Drosophila melanogaster: one gene and its partners. Each later gene encodes a partner of the first gene's protein in a complex. Each region holds a gene or a part of one and is shown in the gene's direction. Other genes may lie near its edges.

What was found.
Region 2: eIF3d1 (region 1) and eIF3j share a complex: the UniProt entries of both Drosophila melanogaster proteins name them as parts of the eukaryotic translation initiation factor 3 (eIF-3) complex.
Region 3: eIF3d1 (region 1) and eIF3f1 share a complex: the UniProt entries of both Drosophila melanogaster proteins name them as parts of the eukaryotic translation initiation factor 3 (eIF-3) complex.

What each region holds. Positions count from the first base shown.
Region 1 is NT_033777.3:23,677,965-23,681,717, forward strand, and holds the start of eIF3d1 (eukaryotic translation initiation factor 3 subunit d1), read left to right. Parts: upstream 1-2,074; 5' UTR 2,075-2,226; coding exon 2,227-2,425; intron 2,426-2,547; coding exon 2,548-3,183; intron 3,184-3,252; coding exon 3,253-3,545; intron 3,546-3,621; coding exon 3,622-3,753. Other genes in the region: GILT3 (Gamma-interferon-inducible lysosomal thiol reductase 3), read left to right, coding at 1-200, 274-387; GILT2 (Gamma-interferon-inducible lysosomal thiol reductase 2), read left to right, coding at 1,004-1,063, 1,130-1,294, 1,420-1,713, 1,772-1,876. UniProt on the Drosophila melanogaster protein: mRNA cap-binding component of the eukaryotic translation initiation factor 3 (eIF-3) complex, which is involved in protein synthesis of a specialized repertoire of mRNAs and, together with other initiation factors, stimulates binding of mRNA and methionyl-tRNAi to the 40S ribosome.
Region 2 is NT_033778.4:9,967,112-9,970,864, forward strand, and holds the start of eIF3j (eukaryotic translation initiation factor 3 subunit j), read left to right. Parts: upstream 1-1,817; 5' UTR 1,818-2,108; coding exon 2,109-2,124; intron 2,125-2,349; coding exon 2,350-2,441; intron 2,442-2,629; coding exon 2,630-2,743; intron 2,744-2,807; coding exon 2,808-3,096; intron 3,097-3,160; coding exon 3,161-3,297; intron 3,298-3,362; coding exon 3,363-3,425; 3' UTR 3,426-3,753. Other genes in the region: CG12133 (uncharacterized protein), read left to right, coding at 154-701, 766-1,240. UniProt on the Drosophila melanogaster protein: Component of the eukaryotic translation initiation factor 3 (eIF-3) complex, which is involved in protein synthesis of a specialized repertoire of mRNAs and, together with other initiation factors, stimulates binding of mRNA and methionyl-tRNAi to the 40S ribosome.
Region 3 is NT_033777.3:4,712,414-4,716,166, reverse strand, and holds eIF3f1 (eukaryotic translation initiation factor 3 subunit f1), read left to right. Parts: upstream 1-1,984; 5' UTR 1,985-2,081; coding exon 2,082-2,924; 3' UTR 2,925-3,285; downstream 3,286-3,753. UniProt on the Drosophila melanogaster protein: Component of the eukaryotic translation initiation factor 3 (eIF-3) complex, which is involved in protein synthesis of a specialized repertoire of mRNAs and, together with other initiation factors, stimulates binding of mRNA and methionyl-tRNAi to the 40S ribosome.

The sequences.
Region 1 (3,753 bases):
GGAAGGCCTTCAATCTGATCTACTGCATGCTGCGCTCCTATTCGAATGAGCTGGGCCCGTGCTCGAGGAGCATGGGTGTGGACGTCAGCAAGGCCAGGGAGTGTAAGGCATCCCGAACCACGGCAGAAATACTGGCGCCCTACGGCAAGGAAACCCTTAAACTGGGCATCTCCTTTGTGCCCACCATTGTGTTCGAGAATGTGAGTAACCAACCCAACCAGGCTTACATGATCAAATACCAGACTTAACTTAACATTACCCTCTGATCCGCAGGACTTTGATCCTTACGACCAGAGAAGCATTCGCAACAACTTCGAAAGACACTTCTGTCGGCAGTATCTGAAAAAGTTCAACATCAAACTGCCCACTTGTTCCGCAATTTTGTAAACTTTTATGTAATGTACTGAGTAATTTAACTGTTTCAATGTTCCAAGACCAATAAACAATAATTATAACCAACTGGAGTGTTTGCTTACTCGCTGACTCACTTGGGGCCAATAAAAATTTACATGTGTATAGTATATACATATCAGCTTATCAGTCATGTTTTTGTATACAGATTCTAATCAGAAACAGCTGTCTGGTGGTCTAAAAATAAGATTAAAACCCCGCTGCTCAGTAAGTTTTCCGTAGTCAGCGCATAAATGTAAAGGGGAAAATGCTGGTTGACAGCAGGGGCGTCGAATTGGTTGGCTAGTCACACCCTTTATCTATATATTTATATTAATTTTTTCAAAAGCGGATATATTACAGAAAAATTATAAAAAACAAGCGAAAAGTCACCCTACTATTGCAATACAAATAATTATTTTTTTTTTAACTTATATGATTTTTGAGCCCCCCTTGAGCATTTTCTAACCACGCCACTGGCCGCTTCGAATTTGACGAAACGCAGTGACAACGCTGCGCATTACAAGTCCCGGAATTATTTCAGTGTCGAGCGTTCGCTGGCGTTGAGCGGCCGAATATTTCAAGATCAGCTCGGGATTAAACTGAATTTGCCATGAGGGCGGCTGTCTTTGTGTGTCTGCTGCTGGGATGGGTGGGCGTGGCCACGCCAAGGGTAAGTGACCCAGTTGATCGGACTGAATCCCGAATTGCGACGCTCCCATTGATCGTGACTTTGCAGCGTTTGCGCGGACCGCAAGCTGACCGACTGGCGATCACCCTGTACTACGAAGCATTGTGTCCCTACTGCATGGAGTTCGTGACCACGCAGCTCAATCCCTCGATGGTCCGTCAGGATCGACTTCCATTCACTGATCTTACGCTGGTTCCTTATGGAAATGCCAGGGTAGGTTTCATTTTTCGTAGCTTAAACTAGTAGTTATAGTACAAGTACATAGTATAGCTCAATTTGAAGTTTTAGAGTGTCAATCAGCGTTAATCCGCACTTAAACTTCGCTTAATCCCCTCCAGACGAACGATGACGGAAATGTGGAGTGCCAGCACGGAGTGATGGAGTGCGAATTGAACGCGTGGCACGCCTGCATACTGGAGCACCATGACATTGCCCAATCCCTCAAGCTGATCGCCTGCATGATGAGGGGTAAGAAGAACAGGCTGGAAAAGTGCGCTGACCACTATCAAATCGACGTGGGCGATGTCAAAAATTGCAAGAAAACGCGACAGGTGAACGACATTCTGAGGAAGTACGGCAAGGAAACGGCCAAGGTCTCATTTCAGGGAGTGCCAGCCGTAGCTCTGGATAACGTGAGTTTAAATGCGAAAGAAATTCATGAAATCTAAAATAAAACTTTGTGATTTTAAGGTTTATAACGCGGATCTATCAGCAAACTTAACTGATCATTTTGATGCCATTTTTTGCGCCAAGTATAAGGAAAAGTTCAATAAGCAGCTAAATAATTGTCAATAAATATTGTGTTCATTTAACAATACATTTTTTTATTAAAAAATATTTTTTGCATTTTCTTTGTAATTAAATCGTAAAATCAGGTTCTGAAAAATGAATAGTTCGAATTTTTAGTTTTCCCGCCCAGCAGTGGCGCCATCTATGACAGCATGCTGCCAGACCTTTGAACATTCGCTACGATTTTAGTATTTTTCTTTGGCGGTGGTATATTTCAACGCGACAACGGTCCCACTCAACTATTTTCGCAACACGCGACGATACGAATTTTCCACATTTCTTTGTTGATTTCTGGAAAATCGCTGTATATAGACCGAATAGCCGACTGCAGACTGAGCACCAGGTAAACGCGCGAGATGAGCGAGACCATAAACACCGCGGCTCAGTTCCCGAGCTTCGAGAAGCCGACCGTGCAGTTCAATGAAAAGGGCTGGGGTCCCTGCGAGCTGCCCGATACGTTCAAGGATGTGCCGTACCAGCCGTTCAGCAAGAACGATCGTCTGGGCAAGATCTGCGACTGGACGAATACGTCGAACAACGACAAGAAGTACCAGAGTGAGTTTATTCCCCACCCGAAACCGACCCACAAAATACTAATCGCCGAAAGTGAGGTTAGGTAGGTGTGTCGTGGCATGATATTGTTGCTAACATATTGGTGGTTGGTATTCCATTCGCAGACAAGTATGCCTCCAGCTTTGGCACGGGCATTCAGTACTCGTACTACCATGAGGAGGACGAGACAACCTTCCACCTGGTGGACACGGCCCGCGTCCAGAAGCCGCCGCACCAGCGCGGCCGGTTCCGCAACATGAGGAATTCGCGTTCCGGTCGTGGCAGGAATGCCCGCGGTGGCCTTAATACTCACGGCATGACGACGCTCAGCGGCAAGAATGTAAAGGCCCGCGATCCGCGCCATGGTCGCGGCATGGGCAAGAAGTTCGGTCATCGCGGACCACCACCAAAGATGCGCGAATCTTCGGTGGCCGTCCGCGCCGATTGGGCATCCATCGAGGAGATGGACTTCCCGCGACTCATCAAGCTGTCGCTGCCCAACATCAAGGAGGGCGTCGATATTGTCACCTGCGGCACGTTGGAGTACTACGACAAGACCTACGACCGCATCAATGTGAAGAACGAGAAGCCGCTGCAGAAGATCGATCGCATCGTGCATACGGTGACCACCACAGACGATCCCGTCATCCGGCGTTTGTCTAAGACCGTCGGCAATGTCTTCGCCACGGACGCCATCCTGGCCACCATCATGTGCTCTACGCGATCGAACTATTCCTGGGATATTGTCATCGAGAAAGTTGGTATGTTAAATGAAATACGAAATATAATAATAATAAGAGAAATAAATAATAATTGTAACCTTATTTTAGGCGACAAGGTGTTCATGGACAAGCGTGACCACACCGAGTTCGATCTGTTGACCGTGAACGAGAGCAGCGTGGAACCACCGACCGACGACGACAGCTCATGCAACTCCCCTCGCAACCTGGCCATCGAGGCGACTTTCATTAACCACAACTTTAGCCAGCAGGTGCTTAAGACTGGAGACCAGGAACCCAAATACAAGTTCGAGGAAAGCAACCCTTTCATCAGCGAGGACGAAGATATCCAAGTCGCCAGCGTGGGCTACCGCTACAAGAAGTGGGAGCTGGGAAGCGATATTGTAAGTGTTGCATAATCCAACTTTAAAGTTGGAATATTTTTCTATATTATGTTAAACTATTGTCTTATACTTTTAGGTCCTGGTAGCGCGTTGCGAGCACGATGGTGTCCTGCAGACGCCAAGCGGCGAGCCGCAGTTCATGACTATCAAGGCACTCAACGAGTGGGACTCGAAGTTGGCCAATGGCGTGGAATGGCGTCAAAAGTTG
Region 2 (3,753 bases), on another chromosome or scaffold:
AATCTTTAATAGGATTTCATACAGTGTTACAAATGCTATTTTCGGCCATTTTGAGCTCCATTAATTGGTCAATTTTTGTTACCCCCCTTAGCAAAATTCAATTTTTGCCGACTAGACGAGATTTGCATCCCACTGAGCAAATGTGAACCTCTTATGAAGATTCTACATCCCCGGAACATGACAAACGATCAAAAATCACAGTACCGGAACAAACTATGCAACATTAATCCTTTTGCCCACGAGCTAGTGCACATGGTTTTTACCTGCTGCCCGATGGTTGCAGGGGATAAACTACCAGATAGCAGGGTCTGCGGACAGAGTCCTCCTTCGTCATATATCGTAGGCGGCATGGAGGCACAGTCCAACCAGTTTCCCTGGACAGTCCTGCTGGGTTACGAAGCCTACACAGCAAAGCAGCGACCGTCTCCCATGTGTGCGGGCTCCTTGATCGCCAGTCGCTATGTGCTGACGGCAGCCCATTGTTTGAATGTGAATGACTTCTACGTGGCACGTGTGCGCCTGGGCGAGCATGACACCGAGAACGATCCCGACTACACCTGGCTGCCGAATGGAGCCAAGATATGGGCTCCAGCGCACGTGGACATCGATGTGGATCTGAGGGTTCCGCACGAGCAGTACTACACGAGAAATGGAAGACACTACAACGACATTGCTCTGTTGCGTCTGAAGAGTCGGGTGAAGTAAGTAGTGTGCTCTTTGGGGTTCCCTCTTTTCACATTTTCCCATCGATGTCCTCTCTTTCAGATACACTCTTCAGATCAGACCCATTTGCATTTGGCCTGGCATTGAATTGTCAACTTCCTCCTTCAAAAACTTCCCTTTTCAAATTGCCGGCTGGGGCGATTCGGGTCTGCAGCAAAAAAGCACCGTACTTCGCCAAGGCACCATCAGTGGAATGAGTCCGGATGAATGCTTGAATCGGTATCCAACACTGCTCGTCGATAAGGACATCCAGATATGTGCCATGGGATGGGATGGCACCGACACCGGACTGGGAGATTCCGGTAGCCCGCTGATGGCTTCGGTGGGCAGGGGTGCTGATCAATTTTATTACCTAGCCGGAATAACGTCCTACGGAGGGGGACCCTCCAGTTACGGATATGGGCCAGCGGTTTACACGAAAACTTCCTCATATTATGAGTGGATAAAGAAGAAAATCAATGATATCGCTGAAGATGAACGTAAAATGAAATACAAATCTGTAAGAATACCAATTTAATTTAACGTTATTAAAATGATACTTTTTATGCATGCAGAAATGGATGTTGTTCTTTGTTAACAAAATCGCCAAAACAGTCAAGTAAAGAAAGTACACAATTATCTTTAAAACCGTTCTTGGGACAAAAAGCCACATTTAACATGATTATGTTAAAAACAGATGTAACCATTGAGAATTGCAGACGTTTGACATAATTCACATTTTGCAAACAAATCCAGATCTTAACTAGACCAATTCTAACTCCAATAAGGATGACTTAGCCTCTCAATCGAAAGAATTCCTCGACTATAAGATAGCCTTAGTCAGCAATTGGGGAGTTCGAGGTATATAACGACACAGCTAGTTCTTCTTATCAAGAACATGCTTATGTATGTATATACTCTCTACTATATATAATTTATCGAGTCGAATCAATTTTCCTTATAACTCTAAGAGTAAGTTTCTTAGAACACCACGAAGAGGGAGATTTATCACGAATTTTTTTTGAAAAAAACTTGTAGGGTAACTCAAATCTTTAAAAACTTAAAGATTTCTTAACAAAGTTGACAAATTTGTGTTTGAAAATAAAATAAGCAATCTTACAATCAAGAAAGGAAAAAAATGAAAAATGAAATATTGTAGGGTAACAAATTTCAAATTGTCGATAACTTGATATCACCTTGGCCGCACTACGAATATTCGATGGCAACAGACTATCGGCGACGTTACCCACGCATTTTCCGCTAGTCGCGCCTTGGGCACACTACAGATCCACAGAAATTTGGTTTTGGAAAATTCCTGAAATCGCTGCCGAGGCTGGAAACAAGTCGATCCCAGCACCATCCCATCCAGAAGCACAAATCCCGCAAGCAAATAGGCAACCATTAACATGGCCGACGATTGGGGTAAGTTGCGATTGGCCTGGGCGGAAGAGTGGGCGGTGCGTCATCTGCACGGCGGACAATAAACGTGGTCTCCGTCGTTGTTGTTGTTGTTGCTGCTGCTATTGCTGTTGTTGTTGGAGTGCCGTGCAACCAGCCTTGATGAGTATTTTTAGCCACTGTGCCAACTAACCGTTTGAAATCATTGTTATTCACCATGTTCCTGGAACTCATTCTGTTACCTGGCAGAATCCGCAGCAGACAGCGAGGTGGTCATCCGGCCGACTGCCGCCGCCAGCGTAAACAAGTGGGAGGGCGAGGACGAGGATGAGGACATCAAGGTGCGACTAACGAAATCCAAGTGAGATCGAAAGCAGTGCCGCATTCAAACCAACTATCCAAGTGCCCAACAACAAATGCCATGGGCCAAAACTTGTTTTTCTGCACTCGGTTTCACTTTCGTTTCGCTGTACACGTGTGCACTTTTGCAGCAGACTGATCGAATCATTTGTTTATTTGCTGCCCACAGGACAGCTGGGAGGATGAGGAGGAAAAAAAGGACGAGGAGAAGCCTACGAAAACAGAAGCACCAGCCAAACCGAAGCCAAATAAGGCGCTAAAAGCCAAACTGGAACAGCAGGCGGTGAGATAAGGCTCAAAAGCATTTCTCAATCATTGGCTATATTGTTATCATCTGTTATTAACAGCTCCTAGAGGAGGAAGCGGAGGCAAAACGTTTGGCCAACCTATCGCCTGCAGAAAAGTTGGCTGAGAAGCTGCGATTGCAAAAAATCCAGGAGGCCTCTGATCTCAAGCATGCCCAGGAAGCGTTCGGTGTGACGAGTACGTGCGGAGGTCTTGACGCCTTCAACCCCGAGACCAAGGAGGAGTTCAAGGAATTTGGCGCAACGCTCAGCTGGAAGGTGGGCCAATTCCGCGAGTCGGAGCACTTCCCCCAATTTGTTGAGGATCTGGTGCGCAGCCTATGCGTGAATCGTGAGTGATTAGCTGGCTGACAATTAAAGACGGCTTATCTGATTTGATTTCGCACCTTATCTAGTGAGCGCTGCTGACATCAAAAAGGTCAAGATGAACGTGGAAATCTTGCACTCGGAAAAGCTGAAGCTGGAAAAGGCCAATGCTAAAAAGCCCGCTGGAAAGGGCAAGGGCAAGGTCACTCTCCGCACCGAAAACGACGTGAGTGTTTCAATCGCCGCCGTTCGAGATCAACGAATGAACTTATTTAATCCGCTCTTTTGCAGGACATTGACGGTTACCAAAAGTACGGAAATGACTTCACCGAAGACTATGACGACTTCATGTGAATAGGATCTATAAATGTAGCCCGCATATATCTAATTATTGAATGCATAGTTGCTTGTTGAAGAGTTCTTCTTGTTAGAGATGCTGCGCAGGAATAAGAGTCCTTTGTTAAATATAAAATGGCAGAACCTATATAAATATGTAAATATATATTTATATAACCATACATAACACAAAACGAGTTACATAGTCAAGTCAGGCAATCAAGAAACCTCAACGAACACGCAAATCCAACTCCAAACCGAAAGAATATTTAGGCAACTGACTTATGGCGACAGCACATGTATGTAGGTCGTATTCGGAACGGCTTCTTGTGAAATTCATTTTTGT
Region 3 (3,753 bases), about 19 Mb from region 1:
ATGGAACTCACAGTGAATGGGCAGTCGAAAAGAGTTATGTTTTTTAGCTCCCTTAGGGGCTTTACATATTACATATTAGAATTTTTAAAACTCTCCCAACCAGCCTTCGTTCAGTGAAGGGCAAGCGGGACCTTCCTCTTAAAATTGATACAGTTTGTCAAGAAACTGTTTACACACTGTGAAATAAGTTGAATTTTTGACTTTAAAGCTAAAAATTAAAGGTTTTTTGCTTAATTAAACGCATTTTTTTTATAAAATATAATTAAACAATATTTATTTTACTTATAAATCAAAAAACAAATTAAAAATATTAAATATACAAGAAAAAAAACAACAAATTCCAAGTTTAAACACTTTTGAGACTGTCAAGAAACTCTTTACACAAAACACTAAATCGATGTTTAATCCTAAATTTTTAAATTATTTTATTAAAATTTTAAAAGTTTTGGTATGTAGTATGTTCCCCATTGGCTTTAGCTACAAGTTGAAGCCCTTTTTTCATGGAATGGACAAGTTTTTGCAGGTCATATTCAAACGGGATCTTTTCACACTCTTCGACTATTACAGTCATAAGCTGTTGTCGTGTTTTAGGTCCCTTTTTGCCACCTTCTTCTTTAAGTAGGTCCACAAATTTTAAATGGGGTTCAGATCAGGACTCTGAGGGGGCGTATCGATCACTTTACCACAGTTATAAGGGCGCCAGGTGCGTACATTGCACTCTTTATGTTTCTGATCATGTCCTCTTAAAATATAAAATTTGGCTTGTTGTTGCTAACTAGACCAAATTTTTCTGCACCGGCCTTCAAATTTGTTTTTTAAGATTCCTAGATATTGCACGGCATTTATTGTGCTCTAAATTAAGGCTAGTTTTCCCACTCCATGGCTGGTGATACAGCCACAAACCATCAGTGACATTTTTCCAAATTTTATCGTTGGAATGATATTTTGTTTTTCTAGCGCACTCAGCGGTTTGCGCCATACTCTGCTTGGCCCGTCGTTATAAAAGAGCATAATTTTTGTTTCGTCACCAAATATGACGTCATCCCAGTACTCTTCTGGATGATCCACCTTGTTCACAGCGAATTAATGACGCTTTTCCATATTGGCATCTGATAGCAAAGGATTTTTCCTCGCAACTCTTGAAGAGTATCTATGGCGTAGGATGACTTGGCGCACAGTTTCGTGTGACACAGTTAGGTGACACTCTTGCCTGATATCCAGAGCAAGTGATCTGACCGGGGGTTCGCAATCTCTATTCGCATAATAAAGCGGTCTACACGCTTTTTAATTTTAATTTTCCGCCCACCACCACTCTTAGGTTCAAGCCTGTCCTCTTTTTCCGAGCCTTTTAAAAAATAGTAGACGGTCTTACGGGATACAGAAAACATTTATACTTATTCTGGAAAAGATTTTCCCAACTGGTGGTTATAGTTTATTAATTGGGTAACTTCAAAGTTTATCTCTTTCCAGGCATTTTATTAAATTTAATAATTCGCTTTAAGCACGTTTGATCAGCAAAATTTCACAAGCAAGATTGAGTAGTAGAATGTAACCGACATTTTGTTATTGATCCGTTATGTTAAGAATGAGCAGCGAGCAATGAAATTCACGGAAAGCGTTCCGTTATTGAGTGGGCATCATTTGTGTGGCTGTTGTTGTTGTTGTATAGTTTCTGGAAACGAAGTAAGGATGAAATAATTGAGTGAAGGTGAGGAATAGAAGAAAAGCATCGCGAAGGCGACGCTTGAGTAAATTAGTCTGCTTAGAACGACAGAAGAAACAACACGCAGGCGACTTGATGTGCTGGACAATATGGACGCTGAAGTAAATGAAAAGTCGCGCTTGGCATCTCCGACATATTCAAATTTGAATAGTATTTGATTAACTAACGCTAGCCACCGGTTTTACATCGATAAAACGATAGGCCACGCACGACCGCACCGATAGCTCCAAAAGCCATCAACCCCCACCCGCACTATCGATAGGCCCTTTTCTTGCATCCCTAAAACATACGCGCAGCGTGGCTGAATAGAAATTATTGCGGAAATTTTCCTTGCAAATCTTGGCCACCGAAAATTACCATGTCGGCTCTCAATCTGACCGTGCGCGTGCACCCGGTGGTGCTTTTCCAGGTGGTGGACGCCTTCGAGCGGCGGAACGCGGACTCGCACCGCGTCATCGGCACCCTGCTCGGCTCTGTGGACAAAGGTGTGGTGGAGGTTACCAACTGTTTCTGTGTGCCGCACAAGGAGCACGATGACCAGGTGGAGGCAGAGCTGAGCTACGCCCTGGACATGTACGACCTCAACCGCAAGGTGAACTCCAACGAGAGCGTGGTAGGCTGGTGGGCCACCGGCAACGACGTTACCAACCACAGCTCGGTGATCCACGAGTATTACGCCCGCGAATGCAACAACCCGGTTCACCTCACCGTGGACACTTCGCTGCAGGGCGGACGTATGGGTCTGCGTGCTTATGTCTGCATTCAACTAGGAGTTCCCGGCGGCAAGAGCGGCTGCATGTTCACGCCCATTCCTGTCGAGCTGACCAGCTACGAGCCGGAGACATTTGGGCTCAAGCTGCTTCAGAAGACCGTAGGCGTTTCGCCCGCTCACCGTCCCAAGACCGTTCCGCCAATGCTGGACCTGGCCCAAATCTCGGAGGCCTCCACGAAGCTGCAGTCCCTGCTGGATCTTATTCTCAAGTACGTTGACGACGTGATCGCTCACAAGGTAACCCCCGACAACGCCGTCGGACGCCAGCTGCTAGACCTTATCCACTCCGTGCCGCACATGACCCACGAGCAGTTCACTCAGATGTTCAACGCCAACGTACGCAACCTTCTGCTGGTCATCACGCTCTCCCAGCTCATCAAAACCCAGCTGCAGCTTAACGAAAAGCTCACCTTCCTGCCCACCGCCTAGAACGACGGCGTTTGTTGAAGTGGTAATATCTACTAAGGGTGGCATTGTAAACTGATTGTGTTTTTTATCAATGGGGGTCTACGTAATAAAGTGCTCTGATCGCCAAAAAAAAAAACCAAAACTTGTATCGATTACTCTGGTCAGAATGACATTCCATACTAAAGAAAATATATATGGGATTATCTTTTTTATAACTCAATTGAAGAATCAGCATGAATCCTGTGACACCTACACTAAACGACCATGTGGCGTTTGTAGGAGCATTCGAATCTACTGAAGACTCTTAAACACAACAGTATTCATCACCAGGAACAAAATAAATGCATGTGCAACTGAAAATTTAGCACCCAACTGCTAAAACAAAATGTTGTGTTTCAGTCTTTGGTGAGCTTCACTATTCTATAGGGTTTCAGGGAGTCGCATCGGTGCTGGGTTTATTGTAAGAATAGTAATATTTATATTCTTTAATATCAAACTTTGATGATCGTACCTTCGGCACACAAAAGTTATAATATCAAATTTTGTGACGAAATATGACAACACATTCTATTAAAAACTAGTTTCTTACATTTTATAACCAGCACCTCGTTGCATCATATGCGTTACTTAACTTTCAATTGTTTGGTAGCACCAGGATAAACTTGAGCTACGCCTACACTTTTCTGTGCAATCTGCATCCTTAATCTTCTAGCATTTATAGTTCATGAGATCTTGACGTTCATGCGGACAAACATGGCCAGATCGACTGCGCTGATTCTTGATCCTGGTGAAGAATAAAAGGTACTCTAAAGAGCATAAAAAAACACACTTTTCATATGAAAGAAGGACA